Linked DNA regions of Anolis sagrei. The protein of the gene in region 2 interacts with the protein of the main gene of each other region in a biochemical or structural test. Links are inferred from orthologs where the notes say so. Each region holds a gene or a part of one and is shown on either strand. Other genes may lie near its edges.

Evidence for each region.
Region 1: the proteins of UBE2D2 (region 2) and RNF4 form a complex in vitro, tested with the Homo sapiens proteins (8 studies listed by BioGRID, with this or other methods). The link is inferred for Anolis sagrei from reciprocal best matches to the Homo sapiens genes UBE2D2 and RNF4.
Region 3: the proteins of UBE2D2 (region 2) and TTC3 form a complex in vitro, tested with the Homo sapiens proteins (2 studies listed by BioGRID). The link is inferred for Anolis sagrei from reciprocal best matches to the Homo sapiens genes UBE2D2 and TTC3.

What each region holds. Positions count from the first base shown.
Region 1 is NC_090024.1:46,921,779-46,928,714, forward strand, and holds the start of RNF4 (E3 ubiquitin-protein ligase RNF4), read left to right. Parts: upstream 1-3,918; 5' UTR 3,919-4,257; intron 4,258-6,936. Other genes in the region: YTHDF3 (YTH domain-containing family protein 3), read right to left, coding at 3,356-3,379. UniProt on the Homo sapiens protein: E3 ubiquitin-protein ligase which binds polysumoylated chains covalently attached to proteins and mediates 'Lys-6'-, 'Lys-11'-, 'Lys-48'- and 'Lys-63'-linked polyubiquitination of those substrates and their subsequent targeting to the proteasome for degradation.
Region 2 is NC_090024.1:137,845,890-137,853,878, forward strand, and holds the start of UBE2D2 (ubiquitin-conjugating enzyme E2 D2), read right to left. Parts: upstream 3,008-7,989; 5' UTR 2,810-3,007; coding exon 2,786-2,809; intron 1-2,785.
Region 3 is NC_090023.1:71,816,514-71,823,975, forward strand, and holds the start of TTC3 (E3 ubiquitin-protein ligase TTC3), read left to right. Parts: upstream 1-4,444; 5' UTR 4,445-4,523; intron 4,524-4,541; exon of another isoform or gene 4,542-4,677; intron 4,678-7,462. UniProt on the Homo sapiens protein: E3 ubiquitin-protein ligase which catalyzes the formation of 'Lys-48'-polyubiquitin chains. Mediates the ubiquitination and subsequent degradation of phosphorylated Akt (AKT1, AKT2 and AKT3) in the nucleus.

The DNA.
Region 1 (6,936 bases), about 91 Mb from region 2:
TAAGTAGAATAATAAGTAGCTAAAAGTCCAGTTCTGACTTAAAGACAGAGATCTCTTACTTTTTTACAAAAAAAAATTAACAAGGCAAGATTCTGCTGTGATCTCTTCCTTGATGCTTCTGGAAGAAGCAATGAACTGTTTTTTGACAGAAAAAGACACAAAAGGATTAATTCGAGGCATATGGAAGAAGTTGGGGACTGCAAAAATAGCCATAGAGATAATACACAACCACAGAGCTGCACTCTGCATGTTCTTTAAAAAAGAACCATAATCCTACAGTAAGTTACTCAATGTCCCTATTCCACTACTTAAGGAAGATGAAGCTTACCATCCATACCAAGACCTAAAACAAAGCTTTATAAACAAACATATGTGGATTTAATTTTTTAATTCATTTTAAGTTTGAGAGTTAAAAGTTTATTTTGCTGTTCACTCCACCCACAAAAGCTTTCCTAACATTACTCAATCCTGAGATTCTTTTTAAAAAAATTCCTCTCCTTGATCAATTCTGTTTTCTAAAGTGATGTTTCCAAATTTGACATGAACCAGAAGCCTTTATTAACTCTCTGTCAGAAAGGCAATGTGTACACAACAGAGGGAGGGAGCCATGAGGCTGAGGATTGGGAGAAAACCCATCCAGAGAGAGATATGAAGAAGGGCTGATTAGGAATGAAACATGCATTTTAAGCTTGTTTTGTATTATATTGTGTTTCTGTGAGTCTTTATTCGCTTAATTTTGCAATTGTACTGTATGGTTTTATGGTCTGTTATTCTTGTTGCAATAAGTTTGTGTATACACATATATTTTAGATCGTATGCCTCTGGCAGGATCCACTGTTTTTTCTTGGAATAATTGAATTGGAAGAAAGCCCAAAGGCCATCCAATCCAACCCCCTACCATGCAGGAATACACAATTAAAGCACTCCTGACAAGATGCCCATCCAGCCTCTATTCAAAAGCCTGTCCACCAAAAAGTTTTCCCTAATGGAATTACTTTTCCTGCCATTTGAATCTATGGCTCTGGAACAATAGAAAACAAGTTTCCCCCTTCTCACTATATCTTTCAAAACCAATAAACTTTCAGTTAAATGGTTGGTAGATGCCAGATAAAGTTGCTTGGGAATTACTATTAAAAACAGGCCTAACACTGTAAGCCAGGGCTGGGCAAACTTTGGCCCCTTAGGGGTTTTGGACTTCAACTCCCACAATCCAAATGCTTAAGCGGCTGAGGGGGGAAAGGAAGAGGCGTGAGGCTGTTAGGAATTGTGGGAGTTGAAGTCCAAAACCCCTGGAGGCCAAAGTTTGCCCAAGCCTGCTATAACCTATATTATACCGTAAACTCTTGTACTGACTTGATATTAATATTGAAATAAAGCAATTAAAAGTAATACATTTTACACTATTATAAAATAGCTCTTGTGAATGACATAAGCGATTTCAGTTAAGTTTTTGTGCTGGTTGCTTGAGATTTCCAATTAACTGAGAGTCTGCTTTACAAACCTCCCTTGCTGCACCAGGTCTACTGGCTGCCAATCTGCTACCGACCACAGTTCAAAGTGCTGGCTTCAGCTTATAAAGCCCTAAGGTACTGGCCCAGCTTACCTGTCCAAGCGTATATTTCTCTATGAAAGATTTTGGAGATTAAGATTATCTGGGAAGGCCCTGCTCTCAATCCCACCCCTTCATAGGCAGGACTGGTGGGGATGAGAGACAGGGCATTCTCAGTGGTGGCCCCTCGGTTGTGGAACACCCTCCCCATGAAAATTAGATCACCCCCTCCCTCTTGACCTTCAGGAAGAAAGTTAAGTCCTCGTTGTGGGACCAAGTGTTTTCACAATGATAGTGCAACAATTGATATCTTGGTGCAATAATAAGCTATTACAGGTGACAATTGGAATGGCTCCTGACTTATGTTCCCAGATTGTGCGATTTTAAATAATTGCTTCAATTGATGTGTTTTAATGATGCGATTTTAATGTATATGTTGTTTTATAATGATATGTGTAACACGGGTAAGGTTCTTAATTTATAGTATATGTTATTGTCTAGAAATTATGTTTTGGTTTTGCTACCATGTCTCCTCTCAACCTTCTTTTCTTCAAGCTAAATGTAAATTTGTTTGATTGCAAAGCACAATAAATAATAATAAAATGAAGACAATAGAGTGGACAAGGAAAACGAGTGAAGCCTGGATATATGTGCACGAAACGGGGGGAGAGGGAGATTGAAAAGGAGGGATGAAAATATGCCTCAGCAATGGGAAATATGGTGTAAAGGAGCATCATTCCAAGAATATATTTTCCAAGTTAATATTATAATGTAATACAATATATTACTAATAATATTATGATATTATAATAATATATTTTATATTAAATGTAATATTACTAATAATATTAGAGTATAATGTTATAGTACAATGTAATATATAATATTAATATTGTGCTATAGTAATAATATAATATATTGTATTTTTACTTGTAAGATGCTCTGAGTCCCCTTCGGGGTGAGACGGGTGGCATATAAATGTATGTGTATATGTGTGTATATATATATATATATATACACACACACACACACACACACACACACAAGCCATCCCCTACCACGTGTTTCTGTGGCCTAGTCTGTGTATATATTTGTGTATTTGTGTTTATATGTATGCATGTATATTGTGTATGTGTGCTTGTCTATATGAATATTTGGGTATATATGTGTGTGTATATTTGTGTGTGTTTGTGCATATATATATATACACAAATGTGTGCATGTAAATATGTATGAGTGTATGTGTATATGGTGGGTTTTTTTGGGGGGGGTTTAAGTCTGCTCCGCTGGGGTTGTGTGTGTGTGTATTTTTAGGGGTGATGGACACTCGTTGGACTGTTCGGTGTATTGTGTCCAAATTGGGTGTCAATTCGTCCAGTGGTTTTTGAGTTCTGTTAATCCCACAAACGAACATTACATTTTTATTTATATACATATTCCAAGAAATACACACACACACAACCAGGAAGGGGTCGCAGTGATGAGAAGACACCTCCGAGGAGGCGACGGGGAAGGCAAGCCCTCAGGGCCCAAAACCCCGCTCGCCGGGCCCGGATGGGGAGGGACGGCCGCGGAGGGCGCCAGGAAAGGGGAAGGCCTGCTCGAGAGGCCCGGAGCAGCCCAGCGGCCTTCCTCAGTGGCGAGCCCGAGGCTGAGCAGCGGCCTCCAGGCCTGCGAGGGGGCGGCGCTGGGAAACGGGGGAGGAGCCGCCGCTCGGCCGCGGATGTAGCGGCCGCGGATCCCCGCTATGCCCGGCGGAAGGAAGGAAAGGAGGGAGGGAGAAAGAAAGGAGGCCGGGCCGGCTACCTGGTCGACGCTGGTGGCTGACATTCTTCAAGGGGCGCGCAATCCCCCTCACCCCCTCCGCTCCGCTCGGGCCTGCTCGTGGGTCCCGCTTCCCTCCAAGCGCCGCTTCCTCCGCCACTCTCTCCTCCTCCTCCGCCGCCTGATTGTCTCCGCAGCTCGGCCCCCTCCTCCTTCTCCTCGGAAAGCAACCCGCTGGACGCTGCGAGCGCGGCGGCGGCGTCGGCTTCCCTCCCTTCTCCTCTCGGGGCTTCGCTTTCCCACAATGGCGGACGCGCTCCGGCTCCTACTTCCGCTCCGCAGCGCCCTGACCTTCCGCTCTCTCCCCCCTCTTCCTCCTCCTCCTCCCTCCCTCGCTGCTGCTGCTGACGACGACGTCGCAGGCGACCTTTCCGTCTCCGCCTCATGTCACGTGGGGAAGGGGAAGGAAGAGGAGAAGGAGGGAGGAGGAGAAGAACCAGAAAGGGGCGCATGCGCACGCCTCCTTGGCCTCCAAGAGCTTCCAAGAGCCCGTATGGTGTGTGTCTAGGAGGGTGAGGCGCTCGCGCGCGTCGACGCAGGCGCAGTGCTGCCTCCGACCGGTGGGGGTGGAGGCGGAAGTGACGTCAGCATTCTTTCCCTCAGCCGCACAGAGTCGGGCGAGAATCCTGAGGGAACGGAAAAGGCGTGAGAGTGCTTCGAAAAGGAAGGCGTTCGAGGCCGTTTTCCCAACCGTCTCAACCGCTCGGCTCGGAGTGAGCAAGGCGGCGCTTTCTCGGGACGCCGTAGTCGACGGCTGAGGAGAAAGAGAGCCCCTTGGCTTGCTTCCTTCCTTCCCTCCGTTGAACCATCGGCACTCGCGACAGGGAGGCCTCGGCGCCAGGCTCCTCGCCGCTTCTTCCCCGGGAGATTCCTCTCCCATTTCGGTGAGATTGTCTCCAAAGGCTTAACAATATGAGGGAGGGGTGTGAGGGGAAGGAAGGAAGGAAGGCAGGGCCTGTCTTCCAAGCAGGGAAATGGCGGCCGAGGGAGTGGGAGCCTGGCATGAGGAAGCCTTTAAGAAGGTCCTGGCCCGGGTAGAAAAAAAGCTGAAGACTTAGAACTGAGTCGGCAAAAGACGGGGGGAATTATCAGAGTTTTAAGAGGCATTTGTTTGGTTTTTTCCTTTTGTTGTTTCAAGCCTTCCGCGTTCAGGGTATTCGGCTTTTAGTGCTGAGTCATGGCATAGCTCGAACAAATGGAACAAAGTCCACCAAAGAGAGATGTACCTATCTGGGCCAACGCAAAATGCGGAGAAACGCTTCATGTCAGATTTCGAAGCTCCACTGGCTTCTGCGCCCTCTGAAGAATCATACATAGAAGTGAAGGAAAATGAGGGCATTAGAGACCTTTGAAGAATCATGCATACAAGAGAAGAAAAATGAGGGCATTGGAGACGCAGGCCTACGTTTTGCACCCAGTGTTGTTTTTGTGGGTCAGTTGTTCAGGGCGGTTTTCAATCCAGACATAAGCCACTCCCCCATTTTGGCCTTCTGAGTGCCAAGACAAAAAAAAACCCAGTCAAATGTACTGTATATACTCGAGTATAAGCCGAGGCACCTAATTTTATCACAAAAACTGGGAAGATGTATTGACTCGAGTATAAGCCGAGGGTGGGAAATGCATCCACTATGGGTCAATTTCAAAATAAAAATAGATACCAATAAAATTACATTAATTGAGGCATCAATAGGCTAAATGTTTTTGAATGTTTACATAAAACTGTAATTTAAGATAAGACTGCCCAACTCTTATTAAACCATTATGTTAACCTATAAGTAAATGTACTTATTATTAAAATAATAAATATAATAAAAAATAATACAGTGAAATAATGAAAATGTAATAAAAACAGTCATAGTAGAGTAAAATAATAAATGTAGCAATAACGGGGAAATGCTGTAAATATAATAATAATAATAATAAATAGATTAAAATAATAAATGTAATAATAGGGTAAAATACTGTAAATGTAATAATAATAATAATAGAGCAAAATAATGTAAATAGAATAATAGAGTAAAATAATAAATGTAATAAAATATTACTAATAACAGAGTAAAAGAATAACCTTGACTCAAGTATAAGCCGAGGGGAGCTTTTTCAGCCTAAAAAGAGTCTGAAAAACTAGGTTTATACTCGAGTATATACCGTAAATCGCTGCAGCAGCAGAGTCACTCCTATTGGAATCCAGGATGACTCAGCCTTTTGTGAAGCCACAGGCCCCTTTCTTAGGAATTTATTTATAGTATTGGAAGCAAACCGAGGGTACATTTGTAATGTATTTTTTAAAAACTTGGCATTATACTAAAATGTCCTTTGACCAGTAGCTGGCCACTTGGAGTGCTTCGGGTGTTGCTATAAGAAGGTCCTCCACTGTACATGTGACAGGACTCAGACTGCATTGTAAGAGGTGGTCTATGGTTTGCTCTTCTCCACACTCACATGTCGTAGATTCCACTGTGCAGCCCCATTTCATAAGGTTGGCTCTGCATCTCATGGTGCCAGGTGCAGTCTGTTCAGCCCAGTTTTCTGTGTGCCCAGGGAGGAGTCTCATTCAGTATCAGCCATGTCTTGGGGTTCCAGGTTTTAGCCTGCCAGTTTTGGACTCTCACTTGTGAGTATCTCTGTAAATCTTAGAAAACCCATTCTTGATTTAAGGCGTTGGCGTGCTGGCTGATATCCAAACACCAGAAGTTTTTTAAAGTAGGAGACACTGAATTTCTCCAGAGGTCTCTGTGCTGCTACAGTACAGGAGTTGGGTGCTGTGTAGGTGCTCTCTCCACCAGTGCCTATTCTACATGGACATTTGATGCAGGCTCATCCTGCCTTTGCTGTATAATTACCCAGGCCATTCAGGGCAATTTTACATCACCCTGCTACTCTCAGATACCAACCAGTTATAACCTATATTACTGCCAGGTTTTGTGCAGCAGCAATTCAAATCCGCCGGGCAATGACTGGTTCCAAAAGTTAACAATCTTAACTGTCAGCTAACTGAAATGTAAATCGGTTCTTCCCACTCCAGTACCCTAGACTTGTGCCCTAAATGCTCCTACCCTTCCACCAATCTCCCTCCTTCTCCATCCCCTTCTAGTCCCTTCCCGTAATAGTTTTTGTGCTTTAGCCTTCAACATACCTCTGTTTTTTAGCCTTTTAGATTTTAATGTACAATAATTTTATGAGACTGTACCTCACTCTCCTTATGCTGTTCTATGATTGTAATAAAGATTTATGATTAGGTAAAACTCAGACAATTACTTCACTGTATGGCCAGCACAGGTATCCCTGAATATGTTTGAAGTTGAAATGATTAATCCAACAGGTGATGACTGCTTGGTATGATTTCTTCAAGAGCCTCCTCTGTGTGTCTGTGTGTGTGTCAGGTGCAACTTGAGAAACTGCAAATCGCTTCTGCTGCAAGAGAATAGGATATCTGCAAGGACATTGTCCAGGGGACGTCATATGTTTTACCGTCCTGTGGGAGGACTCATATGTCCCCACATGAGAAGCTGGAGCTGACAAACGGGAGCTTACCTGCTCCCTGGATTTGAACTGCCGATGTT
Region 2 (7,989 bases):
CATTGGGTCTGTTTGCCAAGAAGAAAGATATGTAAGGCTTGCTTTCCAACTGCAGTAGCCTGGATGTTGTTCCCTTGAGAGAACTGCAAGATGCTTAAAGCATAAATCCAAAGGTGTCATTAAAGATGTGCCGGAGACACACCCGAGGCAGGAAGTAGCAGGGGAGATGACTGAGGGCAGAGGTGGCAGAGGAAGCACCAGGCGGGCACACAAAGGAGGCAGAGGCATGCCTGACACCTTTCCCTCCTGGGCTGCAGGTGTGTTCCTTTTGTTTTATGTAAGACCCCCCCCCACACACACACACACACACACACCGCTAAATAAAATCCCACATTTTCTGCTTTTAACTGGCTTATCTGAGTCCACACTCAGGCCCTATATAATAATGTGGGATGTCCTGCCTTGATATTCTGGGATAGAGGGCTGCGTGGAAGGGCCCAGGGATATATGGCAGTGTGGACTAAGATAACCCAGTTCAAAGCAGATATTGTGGGCTTTACTGCCTTGATATTCTGGATTATATGGCTGTGTGGAAGGGTCCTAAATTCATGGAAGGATTACCTCCACTAAATTCTAGAGGAAAAGATTGTGGGCCCTTCCACACAGCCATATAACCTAGACCAGTGGTTCTCAACCTGGGGTCCCCAGATGTTTTTGGCCTACAACTCCCAGAAATCCCAGCCTGTTTACCAGCTGTTAGGATTTCTGGGAGTTGAAGTCCAAAAACATCTGGGGACCCCAGTTTGAGAACCACTGACATATACTATCAAGGCAGATAACCCACAAAATCTGCTTTGAACTGGGTTATCTGAAGCCCCTTCCACACAGCTGTATAAAATCCACATTGAACTGGATTATCTGGAAGTATGGACCCAGGGCCCTCGCAGATAGTTCAAAGCAGATATTGTGGGCTTCCCAAGATCTGATCCCAGATTTTCTGCTTTCAATTGAATTCTTTGAGGGCCCTTCCACACAGCCCTATATCCCAGAATCTCAAGGCAGAAAATCCCACAATATCTGCTTTGAACTGAGTCATCTGAGTCCACACTGCCACATATCCCACTTCAAAGCAGAAAACATGGGATTTTCTGCCTTGATATTCTGGGATATAGGGCTGTGTGAAAGGGCCCTGAGTCCGCATTGCCAGATAATCTGAGGTAAACAGAAAACCTGGGATCAGATTCTGGGATATAGGAACTGTCTGGAAGGGCCCTCAGATAACCCAGGGCCCTTCCACACTGCCATATAAACCAGAGTATCAAGACAGAAAAACCAACAATATCTGCTTTGAACTGGGTTATCTGAGTCCACGCTGCCATATATTCCAATTCAAAGCAGATATTGTGGGATTTTCTGCCTTGATGTTCTGGTTAATATGGGTGTGTGGAAGGGCCACCAGTTCAAAGCAGATATTGTGGATTATCTGCCTTGATATTCTGAGTTATATGACTGTGTGGAAGGGCCCTGAGTCCACACTGCCATATAATCCAGTTCAATGTAGATTTTATACAGCTGTGTGGAAAGGGCCTTAGGCCCTCTCTACACCGCCACATAATCTAGGGCTCTTCCAGAGTCATATAACCCAGAATATCAAGGCAGAAAATCCCAAAACATCTGCTTTGAACTGGATTATTTGAGTCCACACTGCCATATAATCTAGTTCAGTGGTTCTCAACCTGTGGGTCCCCAGGTGTTTTGGCTTCCAACTCCCAGAAATCCCAGCCAGTTTACTAGCTGTTAGGATTTCTGGGAGTTGAAGTCCAAAACATCTGGGGACCCACAGGTTGAGAACCACTCATCTAGTTCAATGTGGATTTTATACAACTGTGTGGAAAAGGCCTCTACACTGCCATATAATCCAGATGAACAAAACACAGAATCCACATCATCTATATAGGAGTCCACAGTGCCATATATCCTAGTTCAAAGCAGATATTGTGGAATTTCCTGCCTTGATATTCTGGATTATATGGCTGTGTGGAATGGTCCTGAGTCCACACTGCAATATAATCCAGTTCAATGTGGATTTTATACAACTGTGTGGAAGAGGCCTTAGCCACATAATCCAGATGAACAAAGCACAGAATTCACATCATCTATATATGAGTCCACACTGCCATATTGTTCAAAGTAGATATTGTGGAATTTCCTGCCTTGATATTCTGGATTATATGGCTGTGTGGAAGGGTCCTGAGTCCACACTGCCATCTAGTTCAATTTGAATTTTATACAACTGCCCCCTTCTAGACTGACACATAATCCAGATGAACAAAGCACAGAATCCACATTATCTACATATGAGTCCACAGTGCCATGTAGACGGGGCCTGGATGGCGGGAGACGGGGCCGCACACCTGCCTCTCTTCCGGGCAAGGCGCCCTCCCTTTGCTTGAAGCGATGCCCAGCGCCAGGCTCAAGGCGTGCCCTTCATCCCTGGCCTCCCGGGCGGGGAGAGGGGCAGGAAAGAGAAACCAAAAGCACGGGCCTCCTTCTGGGAAAGGCGAGGGCCGCCTTGGAACAATAGGCCTCGGGAAGGGCCCCCGCAGGAGGCGCCTTGCGGCCTAGGCCGGAGAGGCGCCGCCTGCCGAGGGTTTGGGGCCCAAGCGCGGGGCCTCGCTTCGGGGCGGGGAGGCCCAGCTGACACGGCGCGAAAGGCCACCAAGGAGGCCTCCTCCCTCCTCCTCCTCCACAGCTAAGACCCCCACGAGAGGGAGGGAGGGAGGGAAGGGCCGGGCATCCCCTGGAGCGGCGCCTCCCTCCCTCTTTCCCAGCCTGCCTTCCTTACCTTGTGGATTCTCTTCAGCGCCATCGCGGCGGCGGCGGCGGCGGAGCCTGTGGAGGGCGGCGCGCGAGGAGGCAGGAAGGAGGCGAAGAGGAAGGAGCGGGACTACTTTTCCGGCGGCGGAGGGAGCGCGGGGGCTGCTCGGCGGAAGAGGCAGGCTGGAAGGGAGGGAGGGGGCGCGCGCGGGCCTCCTGGGCGCTCCCCTTTCAAGTCCCTCGTCGGCGCCCCCGCCCCGCCCCTGCACGCCGCTCCGTCGTCCCCTTCCGCCGCCCCCTCCTCCTCCTCCTGCTTCTCTCCCTCCTTACTATTTCCCCCGGCTCTCCCTTCACTGACGTTCTCGGCGCTGCGGCTCCTCCAGCCGCATCACCCTTCAGCGAAGTTCTTTTATGACGCGACGGCGGCGCGAGGTTAATGAGATTCCTCCGCCATCGGCGTTGGCGCATGCGCCTCGCGGCCGTCGCGGCAGGCTCGCGGACTGAGTGGGGAAGCGCTGCGTGACCTTACGCGGACGCTTAGGAAGGCGCTGAACGAGCAAGTGTGGCCCGCGGCAGGGAACCCCTCGGAAAAGGACAGAGCACGAAGGCGTCCCCTTCATCGGTGAGGGCCGCGCAAGGCGAGGGTTCGCTCTCTTCTCGCGAGAAGAGACATGGCGGATGAAGGCCCAACAACTGTCAGACTCGAAGAGGGAGGAACAGGACAGGAAAAACTTTTCACTTGGGAACAAAGGGGTTTAATGGAAACCAGGGCCCTTCTACACAGCCCTTTATCCCAGAATATCAAGGTGGAAATCCCACACTATCTGAGATATTGTGGGATTTTTTGCCTTGATATTCTGGGATATAGGGCTGTGTGAAAGAGCCATGAGTCCATACTGCCATATATCCCAGTTCAAAGCAGATATTGTGGGATTTTTTGCGTTGGTATTTTGGGATATAGGGCTGTGTGAAGGGCCCCGAGTCCACACTGCCATATATCCCAGTTCAAAGCAGATATTGTGTAATTTTTGCCTTGATATTCTGGGTTATAGGGCTGTGTGGAAGGACCCTGAATCCATACCGCCATATATCCCAGTTCAAAGCAGATGTTGTAGGATTTTCTGCCTTGCTAATCTGGGCTATAGGGCTGTGTGGAAGGGCCCTCAGATAACCCAGTTCAAAGCAGATATTGTGGGATGTTTTGCCTTGATATTCTGGGATATAGGGCTGTGTGGATGAGCCCTGAGTCCATATTGCCATATATCCCAGTCCAAAGCAGATATTGTGGGATTTTTGCCTTGATACTCTAGGATATTGGGCTGTGTGGATGAGCCCTGAGTCCATATTGCCATATATCCCAATCCAAAGCAGATATTGTGGGATTTTTGCCTTGATACTCTGGGATATTGGACTGTGTGGAAGGGCCCACATAATTTCAAGATAGGTAAGCCACAATATCTGCTTTGAACTGGGTTATCTGAGGGCCCTTCCGGACAGGCCCTATAACCCATATCTGATTCCATATTTTCCTGCTGTAACCTGGATTGTAGAAGTCCCCACTGCCAGATAAACTGGGATAAACAGAAAACCTGGGATCAGCTCCTGGGATATAGGGCCTTTCTGGAAGGGCCCTCAGATAACCCTGCCATATATTCAAAGCAGATAATATGGGATTTTATTTAGATGTGTGGAAGGAGCCTCAGTGGGTCTATAGTCAGGACGAGGTTTGCCATGAACCCCTTATTATTATAAAGGGCCCTTCCACAATGCCATATAATCCAGAATATCAAAGCAGACAATCCACAGTCACAGTATCTGCTTTGAACTGTGTGATCTGAGTCCACACTACCATATTATCCATTTCAATGTGGATTTTATACAACTGTGTGTTGTTCAGTTGCATCTGACTCTTCATGACCTTATGGACCAGCCCACGCCAGAGCTCCCTGTCAGCCGTCACCACTCCAGTTCCTTCAAGTTCAAGCCAGTCACTTCAAGGATACTATCCATCCATCTTGCCCTTGGTCAGCCCCTCTTCCATTTCCTTCCTTTCCTTCCATACAACTGTGGGGAAGGGGCCAAAGTCTGTCCTTTATTTGTGCACTAGAAAGCTTTTCTTTTTATGTAGAGGCTCAACAGCTCGGCTCAAAAACCCTTTTTTTTTTTTTTTTTTTTTTTGAGGATTTGAGTCTTCCTTAGAAGTGGACATGTGTATCATTTTATTTGCCAGTATATGTTAATGTGAAAAAATATAGAGAAATCCATAGCTACATTAGCTGAAATCAATACCTTTGTTTGGTAAAACCATTTTGAGACTTGCATTTTTGTTTTTTGATGACCCAGTAACTCTAGTCGTATTTAGAGCTATGTTCCTTTCTATGTAAAACAAATGAAATGGACTCGTGGATGCTATTGGGTTACACTGTGCATCACTTTTTTCTTTTGTAAAAATCAAATTTAAACTTTTTTTAAAAAAAGTATAATGATGTGGTATATCCACATGTCAGTTTCTATTTGGATACCTGAAACTTTTAATATATCCAACTTGATTTTTTCCCTCCAAAACATGCCATTCCAAATGTACTCTATATTCCTAAGGTATCAGGATGACTTACAATCTGTAAAAATGGGTAATAATTGTGCTTATTTACACTGACTGCTGCTGTGCATTCAGCAGCTTGTTTTGGACTTCTCTTAGTGGCTAAATAACACACACCACTGAAGAACACTACCACACACTTTAAGGGTTTTTAACATAAGTTGGGGAAAGTCCAAAACAAGCCCCTGAATGCATGACAGTCCCAAAGTAAATCACACAACATGGCAAAATCAGCTCCATAGCATACAAAGTTCATTGTGGACATCCGATGCACTGATGTGTATTGTAAAACTCAGAATGGGGCTGACTGATGAGAAAATGCCGAGGGCATGACTGGGGAACAGGTGGTCAGTTGACCCCTTGGGATAGATAATTGATTATCTCTACTGCTAGTTCTCACTTTCCCTTCTTTTTTCCACCTCTTGCGTCCACAATGTAAATGTGCAAGCCATGGATACTGTGGATTTTGGAACCAGTTCCAGATCACTTTTGTGGTTAATGTAATCACCATCCTGGTCTGAAATCTGTTCCAGAAATAGCAATCTTACCATCCATACAGAAAAACCAGTTTCTGCTGAACTGGTTTAAAACATACTTAAGTGGTCAGTGTATTTGATATCTCAGTCAGTAGGTAGATAACACAGAGGGGTTGCAATGTATATTTATTTATGTTTTAATATTTTGGTGGATTCTATATGGTGCCAGGATTGTAGATGTTTTGTTGCTTCTATAGCAATCCATGCAGGAGATAATACTGTCCCTGCTGTCATCCCAGACAGGTCAAACAGGCAGGCTTTCTAGTTACCTGGTCAACATATATTCTTCCATGGCACCTTAAATGCTAACAAATTTATTCTGGTGCAGACTTTTATAGATTGCAGCTCACTTTAATAGATATAATGAAACTAGCTCAGATGACACACAAGCACAAAAAACAGCCAAATGAGGTACAAAAATAGCATAAATTACATATGCTATTGGTGGTCTGGTTTTGTGTTAAATATTAAGAAATCTTCAAATTGTGTAATAATTATATTGGTTCGGTTTATGTTTGAATGCCATTGAAATGCTTATTCTCTTTAAAATAAATTCAGCTCTACTTTTAATTTTACATCACAGGCACGCGAAGTTAACAAGTCCCTGAAAAATAACTCTTTTATGCAGTCTTCCTTCTAATTTGAGGGGCAGGAGATGTAGTATAGACTTCGATAAAGGAGGATTGGAAAACAAAACCTTGTCAGTGTTGGGTAAAAAATATTGAAGCTTGACCTAGGAAAGAATGTGTTCCACTCTAGGTGATCCTCCCGCAGTTATGTGCACTTACTCCTCCAGAATCACTGAGTGTGTATGAGGAGCAAAACAGAAGCCCCACCCACACTGTCATATAAGGCAATTCCAGAATGCAGTTTAACTGCATTGAACTGGATTATATGAGTCTGCATCGCCGTATAATGCAGTTCAATGTAGTTAAACTGCATTCTGACAACGCATTATATGGCAGTGTAGGTAGGACTAGAGAAGCAGATTGGCCTACCTCACCAACTACCCAAGCATATTTTTAAAAGTGTGGATTTCTCAAAAGTTCACTACCAAAATGGAAACCAAAAGCAAAGTGTAAGCTATGAAACAAAAAATTATCCTGGAATGCATTTTGGAAGAAACTTTCAAGGCGCATAATGTTTATGCTTACATATTCTAGCTTTACCTGACCTGGTTGTTTCGTTTCATATGTGCATGTCAATTTTGAATTAAAACATTCCTGAAACATGCTGAACTGTTGCTCTTTGTGTGTGTTATACAAACCTATCCCTAACAGATTCTATGTTTCAACCTCTGATACCAAGGTTTTTGTGAAAGTAGAGCCCAGCAACACATTTACTTTGTTAAATATACCTGTATGTAGAATTATCTGTAGGAGCTACTGACAATAATAGCTACATTACATTGCAGTTGTAATATTCCAATTATTATTTGTTTAAATGTTAAGTTGCACAACACCTATATAACATTTCTTCATTTTTAGCAAAAATTACCGACATTTTGAAGCACGTTTCAGCATCATAACATGTAATACTTCAAGTTGTTTCTAACTTAAGTTTACCCAAAGTCATCTTAACATGGGCTTTCTTGCCAAGATTTGTTCAGAGGGTGGTTTGCCTTTGCTTTCCTCTATTTGGCCAAGATTACCAAGTGGGCTTCCATAGCTTAATTGGAATTTGAATCCTCATGTAAGAGCCATAGTCACTCAGATCAACACACCACACTGGCTCTGTCTTACTAATTTATATTGTTGCTTATTTAAGATATTTATCAATCAAAACTCATGTACAAAATGTGATCAATTATAAAATATAGACTTACAAACAGGTGGGAATTGTGCAGCTCTCCAGATGTTGCTGGACTGTATCTCCAGGCATTCTGCTATTGGCTAAGCTGGGTAGGAGTGCAGAATGTTGTAATCAACAACAAACAGGATTGCACAATTCCCACCTTATAACTTAAAATATATGGTTAGTTACTTACTTACTTAGGCGATCCCTCATAGTCCAAGGATGATGGTCCTCCAAGTTCAGTGTCCTGGTGGTGGGTCCGTAGGTGACTCTGGAGCCCTATTCTTGATCTGCATCTTCTTC
Region 3 (7,462 bases), on a different chromosome or scaffold from region 2:
ATTAAAACATTTAAAATGTGATATAAAAACAATACAGCAGCATTAATTCTAGTGTAGACCCAGCAAGGGCAAACTTCGGCCCTCCAGGTGTTTTGGACTCCAACTCCCACCATTCCTAACCGCTGTTGCTCAGGGGATGCCTGGATGATTTTGATGTTTTTAACATCCTTGTGAGAGGCTTCTCTCATGTCCCCGCATGAGGAGCTGGAGCTGATAGAGGGAGCTCATCCGCCTCTCCCCGGATTCGAACCTGTTACCTGTCGGTCTTCAGTCCTGCCGGCACAGGGGTTTAACCCACTGCACCATATGATTATATATATTTATATTATATCATATATTATTATATATATTATTTAATATACATTATATTATATTACATTATATATTACATATAAAATCATGTCCAATTGCATATATTGCATAAATGTCAATCCATATATTCGTTTTTGTCTAATTATGCTCCAGTAGTAAAAGCTTACTTGAAGAGCCAAGTCTTAACCTTTTTACAGAATGTTAGAAGGGAGGGAGCTGATCTTATATCCCTGGGAAGGGCGATCCATAGCCGAGGGGCCACCACTGAGAAGGCCCTGTCTCTCGTCCCTGCCAAATGTATCTGTGAGGAAGGCGGGATCGAGAGCAGGGCCTCCCCAATGATCTTAAGGTCCTAGGTGGTTCATAAGGAGAGATATGTTCATATAGGTATTAAATGCTGCAATGCCACACTTTGCCCTTATCACCTCCAGCATCCAAATGGTCACATTTTGTTCAGGCAAAGGCTGGCTCCTTCAATACCCCCACCAACAGACAGCATTCGTTTTCGACACTGCTTAGTAATAATAATAACAATAATCAATGCCGTTCGAGCCTACTTTAACTGCCCTGGATCAGTTCTATGAAATCCTGGGAGTTGTAGTCCAGTGAGATCTCAGAGAAGGCCAAAGACCTTGCAAAACTACACTATAGCATTGATCCTGTGCAGTTAAAATTGTGTCAAACAGCATTAATTCTAGTGTAGATCCGGCAAGGGCAAACTTGGGCCCTCCAGGTGTTTTGGACTCCAACTCCCACCATTCCTAAACGCCTCAGGCCCTTTCCTTTTTCCCCTCAGCCGCTTAAGCGTTTAGAAATGGTGGGGGTTGGAGTCCAAAACACCTGGAGGGCCCAAGTTTGCCCTTGCCTGGTACAGATGCACCCGTGTCCAGTTTGCAGCTCCTTTTCCACGTGGATCCACGTGGGATTTCTGTCTTCAGGCCCAACGTCAACCTCTAACCGGAAGTTTACCTTTCTGGGAGGCTACTTTGAGCCTCTTGCTCTGGAGAACGCGGAAGCTTTACATTTTGATGGACTTCCGCCTTTTCCCTTCTCCCTCTCCTCTCTTTATCTCTCCTTATGTTCCTCAGAACCCGTCTCAGGCTCCCTGAAGATTTGCTCAAAAGCCAAACCTTCCTGGGGATTGGCTTCCGAGCCGCTGGGCGTGAAATGGCCGTCTGAATGGATCCGGGGAGCCATTTTGGGAGGGCGCCTTAAAGCGACACGCACCCTTTTCTTCCTCAGGGCTACTCTGAGCGTTCAAAGGGGTTGGGAAACCACATTTCCCATAGGAAGGGATGCAAATGGGGAAAAACTGGAACTCCCCTGTTAGGGTTCTTCCACACAGCCCTGTAACCCAGAATATCAAGACAGAATAACCCACAATATTCTGAGTCCACACTGCCATATATCCCAGTTCAAAGCAAATAATGTAGGATTTTATTCAAATGTGTGGAAGGGGTCTTACACATGTTGCCTTTAGGTGAATACATTCATCTGTACCCACTATTTGGGTGAATAGTGTTTAGCATATTTAGCCCGAAGAAGAGAAGGCTGAGAGGAGATATGATAGCCATGTATAAATATGTGAGAGGAAGCCACAAGGAGGAGGGAGCAAGCTTGTTTTCTGCTTCCCTGGAGACTAGGACGCAGAACAATGGCTTCAAACTACAAGAGAGGAGATTCCATCTGAACATGAGGAAGAACTTCCTGACTGTGAGAGCCCTTCAGCAGTGGAACTCTTTGCCCCGGAGTGTGGTGGAGGCTCCTTCTTTGGAAGCTTTTAAACAGGCTGGGTGGCCATCTGTCAGGGGTGATTTGAATGCAATATTCCTGCTTCTTGGCAGGGGGTTGGACTGGATGGCCCATGAGGTCTCTTCCAACTCTTTGATTCTATGATTCTATGAATCAGGAATTTTTCCGTTGTTTTCTGTCAACAGCCCATTTGGAAAGGAAAAACGCACAAAATAAGAATGAAGAAATTGTGTTTTCTGATGTCTGGATTGCCTATTGTCCCATTTCTGGAGAATTCCTATTGTTCTCGGTGTTGTTGTTCATTCGTTCAGTCGTTTCTGACTCTTTGTGACCTCATGGACCAGCCCACGCTAGAGCTCCCTGTCGGCCGTCGCCACCCCCAGGTCCTTCAAGGATCCCATCCATCTTTTGTATTGTTGATTTTGTTATTCTATATTTTGTTATGATGTATTTTGTTACTGTGTGTTTATTATGTTGTATTATTTTGGGCTTAGCCTCATGTTAGCTGCACCAAGTCCCCTTTGGGGAGATGATAGTGGGTTATAAATAAAGTGTATCATCATCATCATCATCATCATCATCATATTTAATTACTTATTAATTGCCCTCCATCCGAGATGCTCTAGGCGATTTACAAGCTAAATTGTAAAAGATAAAAATACATACATACAAAAATTAATAATTAACATAGATCAAATGCTCTAGTGAAAAGCCAGGTCTTAAGTGCTAGAGTAAAAGGCCCTAAGTCACGCATTGTTATTATCTTGCCCTTGGTCAGCCCCTCTTCCTTTTTCCTTCCATTTCCCCCAGCATCATTGTCTTCTCTAAGCATTCCTGTCTTCTCATGATATGGGCAAAGTTCTTGGTAGGAATTGTGATATAGGATGCATCTAGATCAGGCACGGGCCAACTTTGGCCTTCCCTCCAGGTGTTTTGGACTTCCCCTCTCACAATTTCTAACAGCCAGTATGGGTGTTAATTAATTCTAGTGTAGACCTCACAACCTCTGAGGATGTGGGCAAAAGTGTAATCAAAGGCTATCGTGGCTGGAATCACTGGATTGCTGTGATTCTGGAACATGGCTGTATGACCATATTCCAGAAGCATTCTCTCCTGACATTTTGCCCACATCTATGGCAGGCATCCTCAGAGGTTGTGAGGTCTGTTGGAAATTCAGCAAGGGAGATTTATATATTTGTGGAATAATGTCCAATGTGGGAAAAAGAATTCTTGTCTGCTTGAGGCTGGTGTGAATGTTGCAATTGGCCACCTTGATTATCATGTAATGGCTTAGCAGCTTCAAGGCCTGGCTGCTTCCTGACTGCCTGGGGGGATCCTTTGTTGGGAGGAACATTGAAGAGCCTCCCAGCTACAAATCCTGTGGTCTAATGTCCAGGGTGGGAGAAAGAATTCTTGTCTGCTTGACTGTTGCAATTGGCCACCTTGATTATCATGTAATGGCCTTGCAGCTTCAAGGCCTGACTGCTTCCTGACTGCCTGGGGGATCCTTTGTTGGGAGGAACATTGAAGAGCCTCCCAGCTACAAATCCTGTGGTCTAATGTCCAGGGTGGGAGAAAGAATTCTTGTCTGCTTGACTGTTGCAATTGGCCACCTTGATTATCATGTAATGGCCTTGCAGCTTCAAGGCCTGACTGCTTCCTGACTGCCTGGGGGATCCTTTGTTGGGAGGAACATTGAAGAGCCTCCCAGCTACAAATCCTGTGGTCTAATGTCCAGGGTGGGAGAAAGAAAAGCGTGACTGTTGCAATTGGCCACCTGTATCATGTAATGGCCTTGCAGCTTCAAGGCCTGGCTGCTTCCTGACTGCCTGGGGAGGAGAATGGGAATTTGTTGGGAGAGAATACTTCTGGAACATGGACATACAGCCCGAAAAACTCACAGCAACCCATAAAGTTTTACTTACTCTAGTCCTATGTGTTTCCATACGTTTCAGCACACACGTCTCCGTTCATGAATGAATCATGTCTCAGGTTAAATAATATAATAATGCCTCGAAGCTTAGGTAAAGAATGCTCAGCTTCCAACGGTCCATCCCTTTCCTATCAGCCTCATCGGGGCAGAAAAGGATTGTGGGAATCGTAGTCCACAGCATCTGCAAAGGGTGCACGTATACTGTAAAATCAATGCACTTTAACAACTGTAAGCACGTTGTAGATATAACCAATGCGGTTTGACGCCACTTCGACCGCCAGGGCTCAATGCGGCGGGATCCTGGAACTGTTAGTTTGACGAGGCCAAGACCTCCAAACTACAAATCCCAAGGTTCCGTCGGGTCGAGTCGGCCCTGTCGCGGAAGTTTTAGAGTCGAAGGCGTGACGTCACCGCGACGGCTGGCCAATGAGGAGGCGAGGCGCGTCGGAGGCGGGCTGCACAGTGCTGAGAGGGCCCAGTCGGAGGAGGAGAAGCAAGGCAGCGGAACAATAGGGCTTCGTGGCGGGTGAGTGAGTGAGTCGGGGCGATATTGGGACCCCACAGGCCATAACGGTAGGCCTTCCCAACCCGCAGTGCGCGGAGAGGCCTCTGGTTCGTGTTCGTTCTTTCTGTGGCGGTTGTTTATCCTGTGAGGAGAGCAGCTCTGGGCATTTTGGGAGGCAAGTGTGACTGCTGCAATTGGCTACCCTGATTATAATTTAATGGCCTTGCAGCTTCAAGGCCTGGGTGCTTCCTGACTGCCTGAAGGGATCCTTGTTTGGAGGAGAATGGGGGAATCAGGAAACCCACCGAAGGCGCCACAATCTTTCTTAGACCTCATTTTACTTCAAGTATGGGCACCAATCGGCCCTCCAGGTGTTTTGGTCCTCAGTCAGAGGCATTTGATTGTACAGGATTGACATGGGCAAACTTTGGCCCTCCAGATGTTTGGGGCTTCAGCTTCTACCATTCCTAACAGCCTCAGGCCCTTTCCTTTAGGAAAGGGCCTGAGGCTGTTAGGAATGGTAGGAGCTGAAGCCCCAAACATCTGGAGGGCCAAAGTTTGCCCATGCCTGTGCCAGAGCATACGCAACGTCAATGGGACTTGCTTCCAATAATAATAAAATAAAATAAACTTTATTTATATACTTCCCTCGGGGACTCAGAGCGGTTTCCACATACGCAAAATAATACAAAAACATACAATATAAAACATAAACAGTTAACATTTATTTATTTATTTATTTATTTACTTTGCTTGTATACCGCTGTATCTCAAGCCTGAAGGCGACTCACAGCGGTTCACAAACAGTAAAAACAGTAGAAACAGCAGTGGTTCCATACAACATATAACAATTGACTTAACACATTATCCATAAATTACCGATAAGCAATTACAATGCACAATTATTACAAAAAACAACCGTACCCAATCTTCTCATCATCCAAGCGTAGTCCAGGTCCGCCGCCCATTGTTCCATTCCTATGTTCCATTACCAGATTGCACTAAATTACTCAAACGCCTGCACAAACATCCAGGTCTTCACCTTTTTGCGGAATACCATTAGAGATGGTGCCAGTCTAATGTCCGCAGGAAGGGCGTTCCACAGCCGAGGAGCCACCACCGAGAAGGCCCTCTCTCTCGTCCCCGCCAGCTGAGCTTGAGAAGCAGGCGGGATCGAGAGCAGGGTCTCCCCGGAAGATCTCAAAGTCCTGGTGGGTTCATAGGCAGAGATGCGGTCAGATAGGTAGCTTGGGCCTATCATGACATGGGCTTAACATGACATATATATCAAAATCAATTTAAAACCAAGTCCGCTCTCTTCTTCATGCAAGGTAAGCTGCCAGGAGCAAAGATTTCAATAAGGGGCCTGGACTATTTGGAACGGGTTGGGTCAAGGCTAGTGCAAGGAGAAGGGAAAAATGAGGCTGGCTGAATACTACAGTGCAAGGATTACTCCCAGTAATGGTCCTACTAGGGGACTGGGCCACTCAATTCCAGGGCAAATTAAAGGACTATGAAAAAGGTCTAGGCCGGAAGAAAAGGTGCCCTCAGATGACAGGGAACTAGGGAATGGATGGGGCACAAGGCCAAGTCCTAACTATTGGACCAAGGGCTTGAGACTAGTCATTATCGAAAGCCTGATGAAACCACCCAGTCTTCAAGTTTTTACGGAAAAAGGTGAGGGATGGGGCCAGCCTTATCTCCTTGGGGAGGGCATTCCAGAGGCAGAGACACCACCGAGAAGGCCCTCTCCCTCGTCCCCACCAACCAGGCTTGAGATAGTGTTGAGATTGAGAGGAGGATCTCCCCAGTGGATCTTGGTATCCACGCCAAGTAGTACGAAGTGTTGCCAGAGGGATATTACTGCCAATAACGACAACTGTTGCAGGAAGGAAGGATTGTATTGCAAATAATGACAGGAGACATCATACGGCACCACAGAAAACCAAATGCAGTTCCAGACTTCAGGTCGGAAGAGGTGAACTTCGCGGTGACCACATTTTTTTTCTTATCAGTGTCAGAGGCAAATTGAAAATACTGTAAGTCACTTCTAGTGTGAGAGAATTGGCCTTCTGAAAGGATGTTGCGCAGGGGACTCCCGGGCGTGTTACCATCCTGTGGGATGCTTCTGTCACGTCCCCGCTGGGGCTGACAGACAGGAGCTCACCCTGTCTCATGGATTCAAACTGCCAACCTTCACGTTAGCAATTTAGCCCGCACAAGGTTTTTTTTTGTGACAGGAGCGACTTGAGAAACTGCAAGATGCTTCTGGTATGAGAAAATTGGTAGTCTGCAAGGACATTGCCCAGGGGATGCCTGGATGTTTTGATGTTTTACTCTCCTTGTGAGAGGCGTCTCTCATGTTCCCACATGGGGAGCTGGAGCTGACAGAGGGAGCTCATCTGCACTCTCCCCATATTCGGACCTCCAACCTGCTGGTCTTCAGTCCTGCTGTCACAAGGGTTTAACCCATTGCGCCAACAGGGGCTCGTGCACAAGGGTTTAACCCAGTGGTTCTCAACCTGTGGGTCCCCAGATGTTTTGGCATTCAACTCCCAGTAATCCCAGTAAAGTGGCTGGGATTTCTAGGGGTTGTAGGCCAAAACACCTGGGGACTCACAGGTTGAGAACCACTGGAATCTATTACACCACCATGGCTCCCTGCGGCCACTGAATTTTCCTTCATTTGCATGGTGATAAATCAACAGTGTGGCTGCAACATCCTCCCTCATTTCTGCTTTAAAATGAGACATCTATTGTGCCTCCACAAATCTGATTCTTGCTCCTGGAAACCTTCTGTAAGAATGAGTCAGCCTTAAACTTGGGTGTGAGCTCCTTTCTCACTTTGCTGTGGCGGCATTGCTTGTTGCTGCTCTATCAGTTTTGCAGTCAGGATTCAAAAGCATGGTGCAAAATGTCGAGGGACTTCTTCAAGTGCCACAAAAACCAGCTTTGAGGGA